Cricetulus griseus: one gene and its partner. The protein of the gene in region 1 interacts with the protein of each later gene in a biochemical or structural test. Links are inferred from orthologs where the notes say so. Each region holds a gene or a part of one and is shown in the gene's direction. Other genes may lie near its edges. The genes, in order: high mobility group protein HMG-I/HMG-Y-like and Prmt6.

Region 1 (9,963 bases):
GTGGTGCAACCCTTTAATCCCAGCACTAGAGAGGAATATAAGGTGGGTGGAGGCATGAGTACAGTGTTGTATTCAGTCTGCAGTCCAGGCAGTCTGAGGAGCGTGCAGTTTGGAGATGCAATCAGAGGACAGCAACTTCAATCTGAACATTGGTAGAGGTGAGAACTCTCTAGTGGCTGTCTCTTTTGCTTCTCTGGTCTTCAGCTATAACCCAATATCTGTTTCTGGGTTTTTATTATTTGTGCTACAGGGATGGACTTCTGGAAAAAAGGTTTGCAATCTGTGCAGAAAGCCTTAGGGGTTGGTCTGTTCTCACACATTTACTTTAGCACTAGGGAATCCTAATTTTTTTAACCATCTGCCTGTTTATTAAAGATTTGTTTTCTTTTAATTTGTGCATATGTGGGTTTGTCTGCTATTTGTATGCACAGGTGCCTATGGAGGCAAGAAGAGGGCATGAGATCCCCCAGAGCTCAAGTTACAGGAGACTATGAGCAGCCTAACTCTAGTGCTGGAAACAGAACTCTGGTCATCTACAAGAGCAACTCTTAACCACTGAACCATCTCTCCAGCCCAATCATCATCCTGTTTATAATTGTAAATATTATTTAGAAATTATATGAATGGCCAGAGAGGAATGTTAACATGAATTAACTGCAGCCACTCAATATTCCACTGTTTCCCAAGTGCACTTTAGTGACTAGCTCATAGAAGTTCAATGGGCAGGATTTCAAATTGCTAAAGAGCTAAATGATGTGGTTCATGCTTGTAATCTCCACACTAAGGAGGCAGAGGCAGGAGAATCACAGCAAGTCCAGGTTAGTCACAGCCCAAGTGAGACCTGGTTTAAAACAAAACAAACAAACAATAAACCACCAAAACTGTTGAAGAAATTTGATATCCACACACAGTTGGGAGAACCTCAAAAACACTGTGGTAGCTGGGTGGATGATGTGCCTGTAATCCTAGCATTCAAGATTCTGGGACTGGAGGAATTAAATTTGAGGCCAGTCTAGGCATTTATCTTGACCCTGTCTCAAAAAAATGCAGACAAGGGCTAAGGAGACGGTTTGTGCAGTGAAATGCTTGTCTTATAAGCATGAAGATCTAAGTTCACGTCTCCAGAACCCACACAAAAAGAATCCAGAAGTACTGGCATGAACTTGTAACCCCAGCACTGGGGAGTGGGGTCCTGGAGGCTCCCTGGCAGGCCAGACTAGTTTACTTGCTGAGTCCCAGGTCAATGAGAGACTCTATCCAAACAAACAAAAACAGGAGGAGCCATGTCTGAGGTTGTCCTCTGGCTCCACATGCAGGTACACACCTGTACATGTGAGCAACACACACACACACACACACACACACACACACACACACACACACCAGTATTCTAAGTGTAAGAATCCAGTAACTACCACATATTGTATGATTCTTTTATATAAAATGTCCAAAATAGCAACTCTGAGATAGAAAGTAGATGAGAGGTTATCAGGAACTGGGGGATGATGGAATAGGGAGCCACCGCTGTGGCAAAAATGTAATGTAATGGACTTTGTACACACACATGAGCAAACATATATATATATATATATACATATATATATGTATATATATATATGAAAATACATACATGTACACACAAAAGCACACACAGCACAGATAACACACATGCATGCATATATATATATACACATGTAACATGCATAGCACAGACAACAGAGACATATACACACACACACAGCATATATGTATGCATATGTACACACACTCAAGCTTCCAGAGCACAGACCACACATGGTGACAGTGGTTACGTGTAGTCATGAAGTGTGCTGGTTTTTATCTTTGCCACTCACTTTTCTGTAGAAAAGTCTACAGAACACTCTACCAGAAGCCTGCATCATGTGTGCAGTTAGGAATTAAGCAATGAGAACAGTTTTTGCAGTCTGCTTACAGGTCAACTGCAGTGAGCAGGTCCAAGGCTCTAAGGAGCAGAGACTAGGAGAGCTCTGACAATGTGGCCACTCTTCCTTCCTCTCCAGGGAGCCCATCTCCTGTGGGAATGACACTTACTCTTTTGCAGAACGGCATTTAAAACATACTCAAGCTCCTCGGCTGTTACCTCCATGTCCTGTGGAGTAGAGACAACTGTTCTTTATGGTCCTTAGCAATTGTAAGCTTGACTTGGCTCTTTGGAGAGATTGGCCCTGAGGACACTGTGCTGGGAGCTGAGTTCACCTCCATGGTAGCTGCAACCCACTGGTTTCTCAGGGAAGGAGAGACAGCAGCCTGGAAAAACTCTAGAAGGGTGAGGCATGCTGCCCAGTCCCCTGAGGATGCAAGATTCTCTGAGAAGGCTTCAAAAGGCTGCCAGAAACTTTAAAGGGTCAGAAGACGTTTGAAGATCTAGCAGGTCCTTGTTCCTTCTCACAGGAGTACCCAGAGAACCAGAAACACTCCATGTATTGGGGTCTCACCTGCTATTCAAGACAGAAGACCTAGGACTCAGTTCACTGGTTAATATAAAACTTCTAGGGATGAATCCTGGAATCCTCAGTGTAAGAAACTCACTAGCCCTAGTGTCCACAAAGCAAAAGCTGTGAGAGAGACACTGAGGTATTGCCAGAGCCATGGAAGGGAGTCTGCAGTTCTAGGATGCCCAGGCACTTTAAAGAAAATTTTATTGTAGCTTTTGTGTTTGTGTATGTGTGTGTGCTATGGGTGAACATGTATGTGTGTTGAGGTCAGAGGACAACTTTGTGGGGCTGGTTTTCTCCTGCCACTTTTACCTCAGTTCTGGGGATCAAAATCAGGCCACCAGGCTTACATGGCAAGTGCTTATACTTGCTGAACCATCTTGTCAGATCTTGTTTAGTTTTTTTTGAGACAAGGTCTTACTCTGTAGCCCAGGCTAGCCTGAAAATCATTCTGCCTCAGCTTCCCAGGTGCTTGCATGACAGGCACCAGTCACCACATTTGGCTAACTATGTGGTTTTTATGCACATGGAGATCTGGCTAGCTCCTCAATATGCTTGAGTGTTGAACATAGTCACTGTTGACATTATTTTAATATATGCCAGTTGGCTCTTCGACTGAAGCTCCCTGGCCTTTGGGATGCTCAGCTCTCATAAGAAAGTAAATTGCAGTACATGGCTACCCAAGCCAGGGGAGCCACCTAGTTGGATGGAGAGCAGGACAGGGCCTGAGCAGGTAGAATTTCACTCTCAAGGGGGTTGTTATTTGATGCTGCTAATGAAGGTTGAGTGAATGTTCCTGCATTGGTTCCCCACTTCCTTCCAAATGCTGTTCTTCTCCCTCAGTGACTTCTGTCCCTGCCTCATGCATCTGCTCAAGGGCTTGCAGCTCTCATGATGTGGACCAGCCTATCACCTCTGGGATCCTTGGGACATCATTTGACTCTGGAGCTTTACCCCCCTCACCCTCTATCATTCTTTTCCCGGATCTGGACATATGGCTTCATTTCTCTACCAGAGACCACTGCTGCACTTGTTTAAGTATCTGCAAAACAACCAGCCAATAGTGTTCTCCAACTGTGAGAGCACTCCTCCAGACTGCCCCTTTCGATCCAGGAGCCCCAGGCAGGAGAAGGGAGCAAGGTAATACAGTCAGTAGTGTCTGACATGAGCTAATTCACCAGGCTCCTTCCATTATAATCTCCAACGAGGCAGGAACCAGCAGTGGTGTGGGGCCCAGAGCTACATGAGGTTTCATCTCGTCCCCCATAATTGCCAGGGCTCCCCAGAAGGAAACTGAGCAGAGATGGGAATGAGGTGGAAGACCAAGGATCCTAGCCCTAACCCTGTCCCTAACCTATCACTGGTCAACAGAGGTGCATTGAGTTGACACTGTCAACAAGGTGGGACTCAGGCCCCCAGGAACCAGAGCTGGCTTTAATTTGCAACAAGCCCAGAAGGGCTTGGGGAAGTGCTGTTGACAAGTCCATGGTCACAGTCCTCTGCTGGGAACCCAGAGCAGGCCCTTAGCCAAGGTCAGGGTGGAGATAAGGGGGGTAGCTGTATCCTACCTCACCAGCGATTCTCTGGAACAGGGCCCGGAACTGTCTCTCCTCCTCAGTTTCCTCCTCCTGTGGAGTTGGCTTTGGGGGCTGAAAGAACCAAACGAGGTTGTGTAAAGGGCAGAGCAGGGCTCACAGAAGAGAAACCTGACGTGCTTTCTCATACAAATAGCAGAAAAGAAGAGCCCCACACTGGACAGACACTACACTGTTCCTGAAGGAAAAGCCAGTAGAGCTCTTCCCTAGCAGGTGGGAGGCCTTGGGTTCAATCCCCACCCAACAAAAGAAAAGAATGGGAAGCACACAGCACAGAACACAGCTGTCAGCATCAAGCCACTCCACAGAGTTTCATGTGGGAGTTAGAGCAGGGTGCCTTCCCAGCCACAAGGCCAGAGCCGTCATGTCGGGTTCATCCTACATGGCCTGATTTCTCAAAGCTAGATGAACAACTTGGTTTCATCTCAGGAACATGAAGTTCAGCTTGAGTGACCCCGTTTCAGTTGGCCAGAGTAAGAGCTCTGTCTGTACTCACAGAGAGATCCCTACGTTTCACTTAACAGGAACGAGAAGGCTAAGGGTGTCTGGGCCTGACTGGCAGCTTGGCACAGGGCTGCCATGCTCCAGCCTTATCTCCTGATCCATTATCTCTCTTGATAGTCACCTTCCAAGAGTGTCACCAGCACCCAGAGCAGGCGGGCAGATGGCTCAGTACAATTTAAGCGTTTTGCTTTTCTGCAGATTTTGGTCGATTTATAAACTGCAGGCCTAGGGAGGCGGCACGGAGCATCAGGCGTTCCCCCAAAGCAGGTTTTGGTTGCCGGAGGACATTCCCGACTATTTCAGAAGAACTTGGTGAGTCTTCCCCCACCAATCATATAGCCAATATTTATTATACAGCTTTGGATTTCACAATGACATTTTGATTCAAGCATATTATGTAGTTTGACCTTTCTAATTCCTTCATTAGTCTTCCCTGCCCTCCCTGCTAGAGCCCTTCCTCTTTCTGGTTAGATCCTTCTACCTTTATGACACATAGATATATGCACATGTATAGATACATCTTAAGCAATCTTAATGATCTCGAAGCCCCCCACAGCGAGTCCTGTGTTCTTCAAATCAACCAGCCTCATTTTTTCTTTTCTTCTCTCCCTTTTCTCTCCCTCCCTTCTTCTCCTTCTCTTCCTTCCCTCTCTCCTTCTTTCTTTCTTTCCTCTACTTCTCTTCCTTCCTTCCCTCCCTCCTTCCATCTTTTCTCCCCTCTCCTCCTCTCTCCTTCCCTCATCTCCTTCCTTTAGTTTTCTTTTTTATGTGTTTATTTTAAGATGGGGCCTTATATATCCCAGGAAGGTCTTAGGTTTACCCGGTAGGCAAGACTGGCCTTGAATTCCTGACCCTCCTGCCCCCAACCCCCAAAGTGCAGGAATCATAAGTGTGTTCCACCTCAGATATCTTCTTAAATAAATTGGAAATCATTTCACTTCCTTCACAATTAGTAGAGGCCTCTCGGGAGAAGAGGAAGCCCAAAGAAAGACAGCACCTGAGAGAACTTTATCTCAAGTACCCCAAGGCTCCGCCTAGTCCCCTGGGTGATGAGGGATGGGAAACAAAAGCCCTGGCCTCTGGGTTAGAAACAGCTAGGTTGCTTACCTCACCACAAGCAACCAGCTCCCGAATTTGATTTTTGAGAGGAACTGTGGTTTGAAAGAAGAGTTCTAGCTTTTTTTTTTTTCTTTTTTTTTTTTCTTAGCTCCCCTGAGCCGTGCTGTGCTCCTCTAACTGTGCTCCCCGACTCCGGAGTCGGGGCTATTTCTGGTGTTGGCGCTGCTCCAAGAAGGCCATCACAGCCAGTGCCCCCTACTGTCCCGTAGAGAAGGAAGATGAGCGAGTCCAGTTCAAAGTCCAGCCAGCCTCTGGCCTCCAAGCAGGAGAAGGACGGGACTGAGAAGCGAGGCCGGGGTAGGCCGCGCAAGCAGCCTCCGAAGGAGCCCAGTGAAGTACCAACACCAAAGAGACCTCGGGGCCGACCAAAGGGAAGCAAAAATAAAGGTGCTGCCAAGACACAGAAAGCTACCAGAGCTCCAGGGAGGAAACCAAGGGGCAGACCCAAGAAACTGGAGAAGGAGGAAGAGAAGGGTATCTCCCAGGAGTCCTCGGAGGAGAAGCAGTGACCATGCACAGTGCCGCCTGCTCTTTGGCCATCGAAGGAGCAGCTTTCCCTTGGGACTGGAAGCCCTGCTTCCAGGCCCCTCCCCACCCCCACTGCACACTACCGCACCAGCTGCAGGCTCTGGGGGCACCGACCTGAGCAGGATTTGGCTCAGCCCATGTGCTCTCCCAAACACACCTGCCCCCTCCCGACAAGGCTAACTTCCCATTTAGCCGCAGCCTGTGGTGCTGCGCACCTCTCTTAGAGAGAGTGGTCTCTGGGCTCTTTGTTTTGCAGGCCCTTTCTGCTCTGCTCTTCCCGGCTTCCTTGTAGAGGGAGGGTCCTGAGAGCATTCCCTGGCTTTAAAGGGCCGCAGCCCCATCTGACAAGTCCCATTGACTGGCCTAGCATCAGGTGTGGTCAGTACTGGGATGCTTAGATCCCAACATGCCCTCCCCTACCAAACTGTCACCAGGTGGGTTTCTCAGCCACTTCTGCCCCACCTTACCTAGGCCCTGACTAGGTTGGCTAGAGCCCCTTGGGCTACAGGAAGTAGGACATGATGACCCCGCCCACCATGTTCTCACCTGGGACCCAATGCAGCGACAGATGGGAGTCACCGCCCATCTCCAGGGTGATGTCCCCCTGAGGCAGTTGGGGCGCTAACTCACCCTCTCCGACTCTAGGCTGTTTCCCTTCCTCCAGAGCGGCACTAAGGAGCTAACCTTGCCCACCTCCTTTTGCTCCTCCCTGCCCCCCTGCCCCTCCCCGCCCAGGTTCTGATTCATCTTTTCCTCTGTTCACAAATTACCTCTGGACAGTTGTGTTGGTTTTTTTGTTCAGTGTTCATTCTTAGACACCCACCATTGCTGCTGCTACCAGCGCCAAAAGTTCATCCCCCCTTTCTGCTTTCATTCTCCCCAAGACACTCTAGGGGCAAAGGGGGCTGGGCACAGCAGGCTGGTTACCAACCACCCCAGGGAAGATGGGGCCTTGTCCCTTGGATGGTGCAGCAGAGTGAGGAGGCCGGCCCAATTTGATGGGAAAAGGGTGTAAGACCATCTCCTCCTCTTGTTCTGTGGGGGAGGGGTGGCCAGTATTTGTCCCAGCCTGGGGCTCCCCCTCTGGTTTCCTATTTGCAGTTACTTGAATAAAAAAAAAAAAAAAAAAAAAAAAAAAAACCTTTTCTGGAAAAAAAAAAAAAGAAAGAAAGAAAGAAGAGTTCTAGAACCTTCAGCTGAACCGCATTCCCCCGCAGCCACACCAGAGGACTCACCTCAGGGAGATCAATGTCTGTGTTCTCATCCAGGTCCCTGCAGTGGCAGAAAGCACACCGTCTCAGTTGTGGACATGCATCCCATGGGACTAGAGCTATGGAGAGGTCCTGGCCTGTCAGAGCCCTCTTATTCAGTACTTTGTTTCTCATGGGGTTGGCAATGCCTCCCTGCACCAACACCCCATCCCCAGTCTTTCAACCCTGCCCAGTGTGCCAGAGAGAAGGAGACTGGCATGATCCTAACTCAAAGACAACTTGCAATCCTGAGCACATGACAACAGGAGAAGCACTTCCTGCCTTCCTGATGCACTCTAAAGAGGGCTCTTGGGGTGATCTTGGCTCCTCGAAATATCCATAAGCTCTGCCTCCATAGGGGACGTACATTATCAGAGACCAGCCACTTGGCCTGCTCAGCATTGTTCCTTCTTGGGTGGGTTCTGAATTGCACAGAAAGGAGAAAGCCCACTGAGCAGCGGCATCCATCTCTCTCTGCTTCTTGATTGCACATGCAATGTGAGCAGCTGCTTTGAGCTCCTGCTCCTGCCCTCCTCCACTAACATGGAAATAATGCACCTAGAATTGTGAGCTTAAAAATTAAACCTTAAATTGCTCTTGCCAGGGCATTTTATCACAGCAATAGGAAACATAATCAAGACACTGTTCCCTCCCTCATCATTCCCTGAACACTCATGGGATTATCCCCCCAGAAAGGCTGAAGGTTAGGGCCCTCCCTGAGATCCACACCAACAGACAGAGCTTGCTATATCCCCTCTGATGAACACACAGTGCTGGCTTGGGCCCTGCATCATAGTGGGAACTTAGGGCTCAACTTTCAGTCTTCTAACAGGATAGTAAGCAAAGGCTTAGGACTGGTGTCACCTGGCTCTGTCCTGTACTGGCCACTCACAGGATATGGTCATCTTGGGCTTATATAGGCATTATGTGGGAATGGATGCTGAGAAACCCATCCTTGACTTGTATCAGCATCCAGAAGAATACTGGAGAAATGTGACGACTTCATTGCTTCTATTTGGCCAAGGAAAAGGACTGTGCTTTGGTCCTCCACTGAGAATCCTAGCCACACTTTGGAACCAGGGGCCCGCCCTCTCATTACACACTGCCAGTCTTGTTCTGCCTTACTATACAGAAGGTAGACAAGAGTGGTGAGCCCACAGCCATCTCTCTTCACATATCTGAGGATGTTGGTTTCTTTTGGAGCTTTATCTGGAATTCTCTAGATCAGTGGTTCTCAACCTTCCTGATGCTGTGACCCTTTAATACAGTTCCTCATATTGTGGTGACCCTCAACCATAAAATTACTTTCCTTGCCACTTTATAACCATAATTTTGCTACTGTTGTGAACTGTAATGTAAATATTGGATATGCAGGATATCTAATATGTGACCACAGTGAAATGGTCATTCAGCCCCTAGGGGTTGTGCCCCATGGGTTGAGAATCATTGTGATGGTATTCCCTAGTTTAGGAAGTGAGTTCTTATATTTCCCCCTATGCCACAAACACAGTCACTAATGGTGAATGACCGCAATGAAAAATGTTAGCAACAGGAGGAACTAATTTGAAAGACTACTTTTAAGACTCCTGAGCACAGCCAGGGCACGAGGTGGCAGTGTGAAATGGTTCACACTCACTGGTGGGTGTTTAGACTGGAGCTGAAAAACTGTGTGATTCTGGAAACTTCCAGTAGTCACTTTCACCATCATGTGCATAAACATACTTAGTATCCTTAAATGAGACCCTTCCCCCATTCTAGAAGTTTCTTGGAAATTGGGGCTGAGAAACAAATGACTATACCCCAAAGGCCTGGTAAGCATGACTCCAGGAGCAAGTGAGTTGTCACTGGTGTCAGGAGAAGGGACCTGTAGCTAGGGGAGTTCTTTGTACCCATCACTTCCTGAGCAGGTGACAGGAGAGGAGGATGCAGATCTAGCTCTGCTAGACAGACGTCTCCCTGGTGGTCCAGAAGTACAGCGCACACTGAGGGAGGGCTCTCCAACCCCCTGCTCCTCACCGAGTAACTGCTCTCTTCTCAGAGAAGATTCTCAGGCAGAAGTCAGCTTCCTGGTGTGGCTCAAAGGTGCTAGGGATGAGGACATAGTCTCCCGGGGGCAGCTGGAAGCGGCCTGAGACTTCTCTCAAGTTGATGAATGTCTTGCTTCGTGCCAGGGAGGCATTGTACCTGAAAAAGTCCCTGCTCAGGTGTCCATCCTTGTCCTGGTCTTTGTCCGGGCACTGCAAGGGGAGGAGAGGTGATCAGGGAGACATGGCTCTGATCTTCATCCTGAGTTGGAGAATTGGCTATCTATCCATCATGGCACAGAGTCCAGAAGCACAGGGGACTCAAAGCCCTTGCAGGGACACTGAGAGCAGCTGGCCCCTACCTGGTAAATGGCATAGCCAATGGTCAGCATGTTGGCACCAAACCTCTTGAGCTTCCTGCGGTCTTTCTGCATCAAGGCTGCTAGAAATGTGCAGCCATCCTGGCCCT
Region 2 (11,183 bases), on another chromosome or scaffold:
AGCCAAGATATAGAAGAGGGAAGTGTTACAGGCCTTTTCTTCTCTATACTTTGTATTTGTGGCCTTATCATCATTCTGCCTACAAGAGAAGGTAAAATGAAATAATTCTCATTTCTGAGAAGATCTTGAATTCAATCTATACTTGAATTTACCTAAGTTTTCCAGCATGATATAGAGACATGCTCATACTTAACAAAACTTGAGTTCTTCATCTGGATGAAAACATGATTGTTTATCCACAACAGTCCAGTCAAAATCACTCAATGTGTCATCCCCAGGTGTCTTGTACTCCCTGCTAGGGACTATAACATAAGTTCAAATCTCATGGAATTTACCTTGCTTAGAAAATAAATTAAGTAATTAGATATAAACAGTTAATAACAATAGCTATGAAGGAAAAACACCGGCATCTTGGATGGGAAAATATTAGACAAGGAAGGCATTCTGTGTCAGGCCACTTTTGTGAGGTGATAAAGAGGGAGTTCTTTTCTGGGCTTTGGCCACACATAAGTGGATATGGGACCCAGAAAAGAAGTATTGGTGTTAGAAGATCAGTGAGTGTGTCTTGATCCCACTGATGAGTCAGCAGTGCTGCTATGAGGTAAGATGGAAATCACCTGAAGTTACCTGTTTCTCTCAATCAGAGAACAGGAAATCCCTCAAGTGATATGAGCTTAATCTTTCTTTCTTTCTTTCTTTCTTTCTTTCTTTCTTTCTTTCTTTCTTTCTTTCTTTCTTTTGAATTTTTCAAGACAGGTTTTCTCTGTATTGCTTTGGAACCTGTCCTGGAACTCACTCTGTAGACCAGGCTGGCCTCAAACTCACAGAGATCTTAATGCCTCTACCTCCCAAGTGCTGGGATTAAAGGCTTGTTCCCGAAAGCTTAATGTATTTTTGTAATGCTCACATGTGCAAGCTATGAAGAATGGGTTAGTTAGGGGTGTGGGTAGTAGGAAGGAGATTCCTTTGGAGACTGATTGATTGCCAGGCTAGAAAGACACCTCCATCTTCAACAGGGTTAGATTTTTCTGAGGAAAAAAAAAAAAACGAAAAAAGCAAATGAACCAACAAAATGTTGTTTAGAATATTTTCACAAGAACCACAAAGAAGCAAAGTGAAAACTGGATTGATAACAAACTCATTCTGAGGGTGGTGGTGGTATACGCCTTTAATCCCGGCACTCAAGAAGCAGAGAAAGGCAGATATTGTGAGTTCAAGGCCAGCCTGGTCTACAAAGCTGCACCGAGAAACCCTGTCTTGAAAAAACAAACAAACAAACAAACAAACAAACAAAAACCACTCTGAATAAGGGAGATGGTTCAGTAGGAAAAACCCTTACAGCCAAGCCTGGAGACTGGAGTTGGTTCCCAGGTACCACATGAAGAGGAAAGCGCCAGCTTCCTCAGTTGTCCTTTGGCTTCCACAAGCATACCATGGCATTTACGTGTATGCACACATGTATAATAACACAACTTAATTAATTAATGCAATAGCTTTTAAAAATCAGAATATTTAACATATCCCAAAGGAAAATGACACTTTAAGGACAGAGTGGAAGCAGTATAAGCTAGGTTAAAGCCTAATGTGTGTTATAAAATTCTCACATTTATAACTAATCTCATGTCCCATTCTGGGTATCATTTGTTAAAATAAGATATTAAAACAAGGTAAAAAGAAGAATACCTGTTTTAAGGATTTTCAGTTGTAAGTTGCTGAGCCCTGACTGTTGGAAATAATGATATAAGATTTAACTAATGAAATTAAATCAGAAATAGCAATAATTACCTGGTTTCACACGAGGATTCCCTAGGGAGCTTTAAAAGCTAGATGCCTAAGTTCCCCTGAGTGATTCTCATTTAACTGGGCTGAGGTAGATCCTGCCATAGATATTTCGATAAAGTTCCTTGGAGTATTCTAATGAGCCACCAGGACTGAGAGTCCTGAGTTTAGAAGTACAGTTGAGGAATTCACATGGATAAACCTATTTCATTAGTGAAATTCTATCACCAGGAAGTTTAGCATAGATAAACAAGTATTTTAACACAAGAAAACAAAGGCCCATTTTCTTTTGTGGGATTAATTTTTAAGCTTGGAAAATAATGTTATTCTTGTTAAAGAAACATTTAGTTACCAGTGAAGAGCACAGAGGTCCAGACCAGGCTGGTGAAACCCACAGAAACAGCTGACCTGAACATCTGGGAGCTCTTGCTCCCCAGACTGACAGATGGGAAACCAGCATGGGACTGATCCAGACCCCAGGAACATGGGTTTCTGTGAGGAAACCTCAGAAATCTATGGGACCTCCTGTAGAAGCCCAGTATTTATCCCTAGTGTAGGTGTGGACTTTGGGAGCCCATTCCATGTGGAGGAATACTCCCTGAGCCAAGACACACACACACACACACACACACACACACACACACACACACACGGGGGGGGGGGAGCCTAGGCCCTATCCCAAAGGATAGAAAGACTCTGATGACACCCTATGGAAGGCCTCACCATCCAGGGGGAGCACAAAAGACATGTGACAGATAAGATTGTCTTGTAAAACAATCCTGTTTCTAATTCAAATTTAAAAAGTTAGAAAAAAATCAAAAAACAGAAGTCAATTAAAGGTAAGAAGTAATTAAAAACTAAAAAAAAAAGAAAAAAAGAAACAGTTGTCGGATGGTGGTGGGGGCACGCCCTTAATCCCAGGACTCGACGCCCTTAATCCCAGGACTCGGGAGGCAGAGGCAGGCGGATCTCTGTGAGTTTTGGACCAGCCTGGTCTTTGAGAGCTAATTCTAGGACAGCCTCCAAAGAAGCCCTGTCTCAACAAACCAAAAAAAAAAAAAAAAAAAACCATTTAGTCATATAAAAAGCTTTGCTTACATGTATGGGTATGGGTATTCTGTCTGCATGTTTGTCTGTGGACCACATACCTACTTGGAACTCTTAGAGGCCAGAAAAGGTCAGCAGATACCCTGGGACTGAAGTTAAAGCCAGTTGTGGGCCTTCATAAGGATGCTGGTAGTCCATCCTGGGTCTTCAGGAAGGGCAGCCAGTGCTCTAAATTCCTGAGCATTCTCTCCAGCTCCAGACAGCAAATATTTAAAAATTATTGTACTTCTGTTATGGACAATGAAAAGATATTAACAGTTCCTGCTTGAATGACGAAAAAAATAAAAGGAAACAGACATCGGGGTTTACAAAGCAAACTGCGTTGAAAAAGTAGTCAAAAGACAAGAATTCCATCATTCCCTCAAGAAAAATATGTATAGATATATAGATTTATGTATATCTGTATGTGTTTATGTATAAACTGGTTACTAGATACTCACTAGTAATGGTTTTGGGTTTGAGAGTATCACACGACAGACTTTAATTGTTCTTTAGTTTGAACCATAGGAGTTTTAGAACAGGGCTCAAGTCGAAGTAAACTATTCTCCAGAAACACAATGGTGGGTGAAAAGGCATTTGGTGGCCACAGCAGTTCTACTACTTGGCCGGGATCTTTCAGTCCATTGGGGATCATTTTGGACTCAGAACCAAGATCCTGTGTTGTTAGGTTTTCACTTTGCCCCACTTACACATTCTTTGCAACCTAACTACAGCTAGAACAGAGAGCTTGATGAGTTACAAGTGCCGGGGAAGGGATCTGAACCGTGCCACCTCAATTCAGTAGTGGCACTGAATTGGTGGGCATCCCCATGAGGGAGCAGAGATTCATAGTTGTGAGTAGGTGTGCCTTTTCAAGAATAGGTGAAACGGATAGAGACCGAGGGACAAACGGAAAGAGCAAAAACTCAAAGAACCCCAGCATAACAGCGTGGTCGTAGGGGAAAAGTATGTAAAGTTTTACAATGCCCTGTAGTCCAATGAGATCCTCAGCGCGCATCCACCCTAAAGAGGTGGGATAACCAGCGGGGACTACAAATCCCAGCAGCCCCCGGGACTCGGAGTCCGCTCGCCGCACCGCGCAACGCCTGCTGGGGGCCGGCTGCCTGGGCCAAGATGTCGCTGATCAAGAAAAGAAAGCTTGAGTCGGGGGGCGGCGGCGGCGCAGGAGGGGAGGGAGCCGAGGAGGAAGATGGCGGGGAGCAGGAGGCAGCCCCGCCACGACCCCGGAGGACCAAGCGCGAGCGGGACCAGCTGTACTACGAGTGCTACTCCGACGTCTCGGTCCACGAGGAGATGATCGCCGACCGCGTCCGCACCGACGCCTACCGCCTGGGCATCCTGCGGAACTGGGCCGCGCTGCGAGGCAAGACCGTGCTGGACGTGGGCGCGGGCACCGGCATTCTAAGCATCTTCTGCGCCCAGGCCGGCGCCCGGCGCGTGTACGCCGTGGAGGCCAGCGCCATCTGGCAACAGGCCCGGGAGGTAGTGCGGCTCAACGGGTTGGAAGACCGCGTGCACGTCCTGCCGGGCCCCGTGGAGACGGTGGAGCTGCCGGAGCAGGTGGACGCCATCGTGAGCGAGTGGATGGGCTACGGGCTCCTGCACGAGTCCATGCTGAGCTCCGTGCTCCACGCGCGGACCAAGTGGCTGAAGGAAGGCGGTCTCCTCCTGCCGGCTTCCGCGGAGCTTTTCGTGGCCCCGATTAGCGACCAGATGCTGGAATGGCGTCTGGGTTTCTGGAGCCAGGTGAAGCAGCACTATGGCGTGGACATGAGCTGCCTGGAAAGCTTCGCCACGCGCTGCCTCATGGGCCACTCGGAGATCGTGGTGCAGGGTCTGTCCGGCGAGGACGTGCTGGCCCGGCCGCAGCGCTTTGCCCAGCTCGAGCTGGCCCGCGCCGGCCTGGAGCAGGAGCTGGAGGCCGGTGTAGGCGGGCGCTTCCGCTGCAGCTGCTATGGCTCGGCGCCTCTGCACGGTTTTGCCATCTGGTTCCAGGTGACCTTCCCTGGAGGGGACTCGGAGAAACCTCTGGTGCTGTCCACCTCGCCTTTTCACCCGGCCACGCACTGGAAGCAGGCGCTCCTCTACCTGAATGAGCCGGTGCCGGTGGAACAAGACACGGACATTTCTGGAGAGATCACTCTGCTGCCCTCCCGGGACAACCCCCGACGTCTGCGCGTCCTCTTGCGCTACAAAGTGGGGGACCAGGAGGAAAAGACCAAAGACTTTGCCATGGAGGACTGAGCCTTGCCTTTTCTCCCACCCACCTTCTTCGGAAGGTCCGAAGAGGAAGGGAGAGTGACTTCAGTCTTCATTTGAGGACATTCTTCTGGCAATGTTTATTTAAAAAGTGAGCCTCCCTGACCAAGGACTGGTGCAGTGTGCTTATTAATGTGCTTTTAAGTCTGGAAAGCATGTAGTGTCAAACTTGTATTTCTGTTTCTTTGGTTTCACTTTGGGGGGCGGGTGGGGGAAAAAATATGAGTTTATAAATTGGCCGAGCACCAATCTGACACCTCCTCCCTTATCTCAATATGAAACTGGGAAGAAGAGCAAAATGGCTCGATTAGATTTCAGAAATTTCAAATCATTTTTAGAGTGTTTTGGTTTTGTTTTGGGTCTCTGAATTCTCTCAAGTCCTAGGTGGCTGTAGGATGAGGTACCTTGTGTTCTAGTTAAAACTCATCTGGTTAGTGAGGAACTGGAGCACTCGTGAAGTACTTTAATTAGCCCTCTTCTCATTACTCTTAATCCGTGGGGTGCTAAGTTTGATGCTCACAATAATCTTAGTAAAATGACTAATTGTACAGCCCGTCTAGGCAACTCTTAAAGGAGAAGAAATTTGGAAGTGAAATAATATGGGTTTGAATATCCTTATTTTTACTTTTAAGACTGAGCCAAGAAAATTTCATATATGTTTTATAAAAAATATTTTATGATTCTTGTAAAGCCGACTGACAAAGATTGCTGAACACAACCCAAGAGTGTATGTATTCTTTACCTCATGTGCGTTATCTAAACTCATTTGGAAGGAACATAAGTGTCCTACTTACAAGCTCCTTTCTTCAGTTCTTTTTAGTTCAGCCAAACGGGAACATTGTGAATTTGGGGAAACCACTCTTAATGAAGTGTGAGTCATGTTATCAAATTTATTTCACTGACGTTTTTTCCCTCATTTCTGTGGCAAATAAAATGGCATTCTCACTTTTTATAGTTGAGGTCTTAAGACGTTTTGTGTACCATCTATGAGTTTATTATAATGCTGTACCCAAGTCTTAATAGTGTCAGTTCTTAAGTGTTACAGCTCCTGCAGAACACAGCTGGAAGACAATTCAAATTATGATTAGCACGGTTTTTAATTCTTTTGGAAAGTTTAACAGAAAGCAGTTCTGAAAACTGGTGATCTTGAGTACTCTTGAATTTTAGTTTCTGTAATCTTACTCTGTTTTTGGCTTTTTTATTCATTGCACATTAAATTGCTAAAATATCAAAGCTAATTTTCTGAGCTCTGTTTTGAAGAGAAATATACAAATATAAAGCCTTCTGTGTTTCAAAACAGTCAAGCACTCCAGTAAAATCTTAAAATTTTGATGTCAAATACTTAACATCTTTTAAAAATGCTTGGTCTGGAAATTTAAAAGCTAGTTCCTTTGGGATCATCTACGTCTTTAATCAAGCCTTCACCTGGAGTGATTGCTGATGCTTTTGATTGACCTTTCGTATTTGAATGTGTTCTGTGGACTCCCTCTTTTCGGCATATTTTGTAAATACAAGTACTGTATTGGGGGGTGGGGGGGAGAAAAAAGGACAAGAAGGAAAATCCAGTTAAAATTTGGGAGGGTGTGAAAAGAGATTAGATTTTTCTGACTGAACAAAGTAAGTTTCCAAATTCTAGTTATATTTTCTCGAAAGAAAGACAAATTAGACAAATGGGGGTGCTGAAGCAGGCACTAAAGGTGAGAAGCAGGGTGTAGTGCTTAAGGCCTAGAGCCAAAAAATCCAAACATACTTGTGTACCTTCAAGCATACTAGCACATCCCCCCACCCCACCCCCACACACACACAATTTTTTTTTTTTTTTTTTTTTTTTGGTTTTTTTGAGACAGAGTTTCTCTGTATAGTTTTGGAGCCTATCCTGGTACTCGTTCTGGAGATCAGGCTGGCCTTGAACTCACAGAGATCCACCTGCCTCTGCCTCCCAAGTACTGGGATTAAAGACGGTGCGCCACCAACGCCTAGCCACACTTTTTTTCTTTTCGAATCCCTCATGTAAACTGGAGATAATAATAGTACCTACTCCACAGACAATTGGGGATATGAGTAATTAATATAGGTAACCCAGAAGTAAGCTTTCAGTTCCATGGTGCTGAGTTTGTGTAAAAGGCAACCCTAGAGCTGTCTGAGGCTACATACAAAATGTGCTACAGAATAAATACTCACTTTGTTTTTCTTTTTCTTTTACAGGCACCTTTTGACATTATCAACATGACTATACAAGAAGAGCAGCATATGCCACTGAGTACCACAGGATCCAAAGAGTGCCGCAGCCTTTGGAATGAGCACACTTGGGAGGGATGAAAGCTAGAGGCGTGTGGACACCCAGGCACTGTCTGATATGTTATGTGGATTGGGACTGGTAACGTGGAGCCCTCAAGGTTCCAGGCCTAGATTACCAGACCCAAGAGAGAGCATTATGGTAAAGTTCACCTACCTCCCTCACAGCTTACATTCATTTAACACTGTGGAAACTCCTATTTTTTCCCATTTATTGAGCCAATGAGCGTAGTTAAAACTACAATCTAATAGTCATTGTGATAGGTATTTGGGACTACAAACTAAAAGAATCTGAACTCTGCCCTCTAATACATAACTGCCACTAGAGAAACTAAAAGCCATGATGATAGGATGGGCTGGTTTTAGTGTCAGAAAGTATATATTTATTATTTTACACATTAAGTAAAAAGGTTTCTATAGAAATTGATTTGCATATATATATATACATATATATATATATATATCTTATATGTATAAATACTTTATTGTTTTGTGAGATGGAATCACAAGTAGTGCATCACTGTCCTGCAACTCACAATGTAACTGACAATGACTTTGGACTCTTGATGTTCCTGGCTCCACCTTCCAGATGCTGGAGTTAACAGCCCTGTACCACTGTGCCCAGCACACACCTAATTCTTCAAAGTTAGATCTTAAGCACAGCTCTTTGACTTCCTTAGCCTGAACAACAATTCACTGTCATTGATCCTTCGTATTTCAGTAGAGAACAGAACACTACAGACCACCATAATGGTAACAAAGGTTTAATTATTTGATGATAAAGGAAAAGTTTAGTGCTAGAAAGACTCAACAGATGAGTCTAGACCTTCCTGGATCGTCTGCAGGGTACAACTCCTTGAGTTTGAAATAGTAGCCACTCACTGGGACAACCCCTATTTTTATTTCCCTAACAGTTAATCAAAGGTAACACTCTGGGGTCCTCAGGAAACTGAATCCATGACAGTAGCAAAGGCAAGTGAACTCCTTGTCACGTTGGCTGAGGGGCAGCTGATAGCTCTCAAGGAGATACAGAAAATGGAATAAGGAGTTGGGGAAGGTAGACATCAAAGTTGCCTGCTGCAAACAGCTGCCAGCCCTGCTGTTATCCCCACAGTTTACACCACCCAGTACCTAGGATAGATGGTACCTAGGGAGCATTTGCAAACACAGGCCACATGCCCCCCATATGGTCATCTATGTATGTTTCTCCATTAATTTTATTAACAACAACTACATAGTGTTTAAGCACTATAATAAGTACATCCTCCTCTGAAACATCTAGAATACAATGGGAACAATAAAATGACATCAGTCATTCTTGTCCGTCCATAAGCCTGGAAACCCTTTCCAGTTCTTAGCTCTGCTGAGCCAACTTGGAAAGGCAGTTCTCATCCTTTAAGCCTCTCCAAGGATTGAAAAATCCTCTTCCTACCAATAGGTAGATTGTGAACACTATAACACAGAGGGTATATTAAATGATAGCTCTTCCTTGGCTACTAAAACAAATAAAATTCTAAGACAAATCTATATCCAGTTCTCTCTCTCTCTCTCTCTCTCTCTCTCTCTCTCTCTCTCTCTCTCTCTGTGTGTGTGTGTGTGTGTGTGTGTTATCGTGTGTGTATGTCTGTTTCTGTGTGCATGTGTGTCTGTCTTTGTGAGCATGTATGTCTGTTTCTGTGTGTTTCTCTGTATGTGTCTATTTCTTTTTTTTTTTTTCTTTTTTTTTTTTTTTTTTTTTTCCGGTTTTTCGAGACAGGGTTTCTCTGTATAGCTTTGGAGCCTATCCTGGTACTCGCCCTGGAGACCAGGCTGGCCTTGAACTCACAGAGATCTGCCTGTGAGGATTAAAGGCGTGCACCACCAACGCCCGGTGTGTCTATTTCTCTGTGTGTATATGTGTGTGGGTCTTTGTGTGTGTGTCTGTGTCTGTTTCTGTGTATCTTCCACAGCTTTCTACATGATTTCATTCGCATGCTCCCATTTGTGGTTTATCCTTTCAATTGTAATAAATATTACATGTTTTGTTGGAATTTATGTAACCTGGTCTATTCTTTGAGGTTTTTAAATACTTTTGGAGGACTGCAGTCACTGGTTGGATACTTAACTAGCTAGCCCAGGCAAGCTCCTGAATTTGATGCCCAGCACTACAGAAAACAGTCTGCAGTAAGTGGAGAAGTTCTGAAGATGAAAAGGTTTCAGATAAAGGAACAGCAGAGTAAGCATGACACCTTTGTTTCCAATAAAATGGGAAATTACCCGAGGTTTTCCATTTGGATCTGTAGCTGGTTTGGTACCATCCTTCTGGCCAGTTTTACAGATGTTGACACTTTTAAAGAATCAAATCTTTGAAAGATGTGAAAAATGCTCAGCTGTTTTTCCTCAGCCTAGATCAGACCTGATAAATCTTCTACATCAAACTAAGGAGGGGTACAGATTTCTAAACATTTTCCAAAATGCACCAAAAATAGTTTAATGAGAAGAAAGGGTGTGGGATATTTAGACTACATCTTAAAATATATGTATCTGTGGGAAAAGCTATTGGGATGATTTAATTTAATTCAACACTAAAAGGATTTTATATCAGCATATGACCAGTAACATAATTGTAACTTTTGGAACCTTTTATAATTAAATTGCTCATCATAAACACTGTAGGGGACCCGGAATCTGCTTTGCAGAAGACCCAGAATCAATTCGTTTTGCGCACATTTTGTTTCACAACAGTCTGTTCCAGTTCCAGGAGATCCACAACAATAGGATAAAAAACAAGAGATGTTAAAACCTATTGAACTTGGTCACTGAGTATATTAATAAAACCACAAATCAAAAAAAAAAAGTTTAAAAGAGAAGTTCCTCACAAACACTGAAGTAAATGTAAGCAAATGGAGCTTGCTAGGAAGGCCTGAGGAAGACTTCAAGAACAAAATGCACAAGGATGGGGGAGGGGCTAATACGACAAAGTTCCAAGATGAGAATGTGGCCAAAGAGACCCAATGGAAAGAATCTGTGGATCTAGAATGTGGTGACTTCCTATAAGGCTTGATATATTCAGCTGCAAGGGTACCTTTGATCAGTGGCTGTCACCTCTTAACATCAAATTATTAAAGATGGTAATTGTGGTTTGAAAAAAAAATGCCCACAAAGGGAGTGGCACTATTAAGAAGTATAGATTTTCTGGAGTTGGTGTCGTGTTGTTGGAGGAAGTGTGTGGCTGTGGAGGGAGGCTTTGAGGTCTCATATACACTTAAGCCACACCCAGTGAGACAGTTCACTTGCCTTTCAATCAAGATGTAGAATTCTTCAGCACCATGTCCACCTGCACACTGCCATACTCCCAGCCTCCATGCTCCCCACTGTGATGATAATGAAGTAAACCTCTGAAACTGTAAGCTACCACCTCAATTAAATATTTTCCTTTATAAGAGTTGCCATGGTCATGGTGTCTCTTCACAGCAAGAGAAGCCTAAGACAGGGATGATCACACCCGAATCAAACAACTCCCACATTATCTGCTGATGTTTCTAATGAATGACCAATGAATTTTAGTGTATTTATTTTTACATAAGCATACATTGTACCAAAATAGTCTGGATTTTTGTCAATTTTCAGAAATTAAAGTAGCTTGAAATTATATTGGGTTTCTGGAGCTTTTCAAGGCCAAGTGTCTTGAAGGGAAGAAGAGTGGAAAGCCAGCTACAGGTGTCTATAACTTCATACATTTCCTTGTGAATGCATATACTTCA

The links.
Region 2: of the proteins of high mobility group protein HMG-I/HMG-Y-like (region 1) and Prmt6, one has a biochemical effect on the other in vitro, tested with the Homo sapiens proteins (2 studies listed by BioGRID, with this or other methods). The link is inferred for Cricetulus griseus from reciprocal best matches to the Homo sapiens genes HMGA1 and PRMT6.

Annotation. Positions count from the first base shown.
Region 1 is NC_048596.1:201,326,968-201,336,930, reverse strand, and holds high mobility group protein HMG-I/HMG-Y-like, read left to right. Parts: upstream 1-5,833; 5' UTR 5,834-5,910; coding exon 5,911-6,201; downstream 6,202-9,963. Other genes in the region: Capn9 (calpain-9), read right to left, coding at 2,071-2,128, 4,043-4,123, 7,456-7,492, 9,487-9,707, 9,857-9,963. UniProt on the Homo sapiens protein: HMG-I/Y bind preferentially to the minor groove of A+T rich regions in double-stranded DNA. It is suggested that these proteins could function in nucleosome phasing and in the 3'-end processing of mRNA transcripts.
Region 2 is NW_023276806.1:46,953,305-46,964,487, forward strand, and holds Prmt6 (protein arginine N-methyltransferase 6), read left to right. Parts: upstream 1-3,944; 5' UTR 3,945-3,999; coding exon 4,000-5,130; 3' UTR 5,131-5,236; intron 5,237-7,350; 3' UTR 7,351-8,967; downstream 8,968-11,183. UniProt on the Homo sapiens protein: Arginine methyltransferase that can catalyze the formation of both omega-N monomethylarginine (MMA) and asymmetrical dimethylarginine (aDMA), with a strong preference for the formation of aDMA.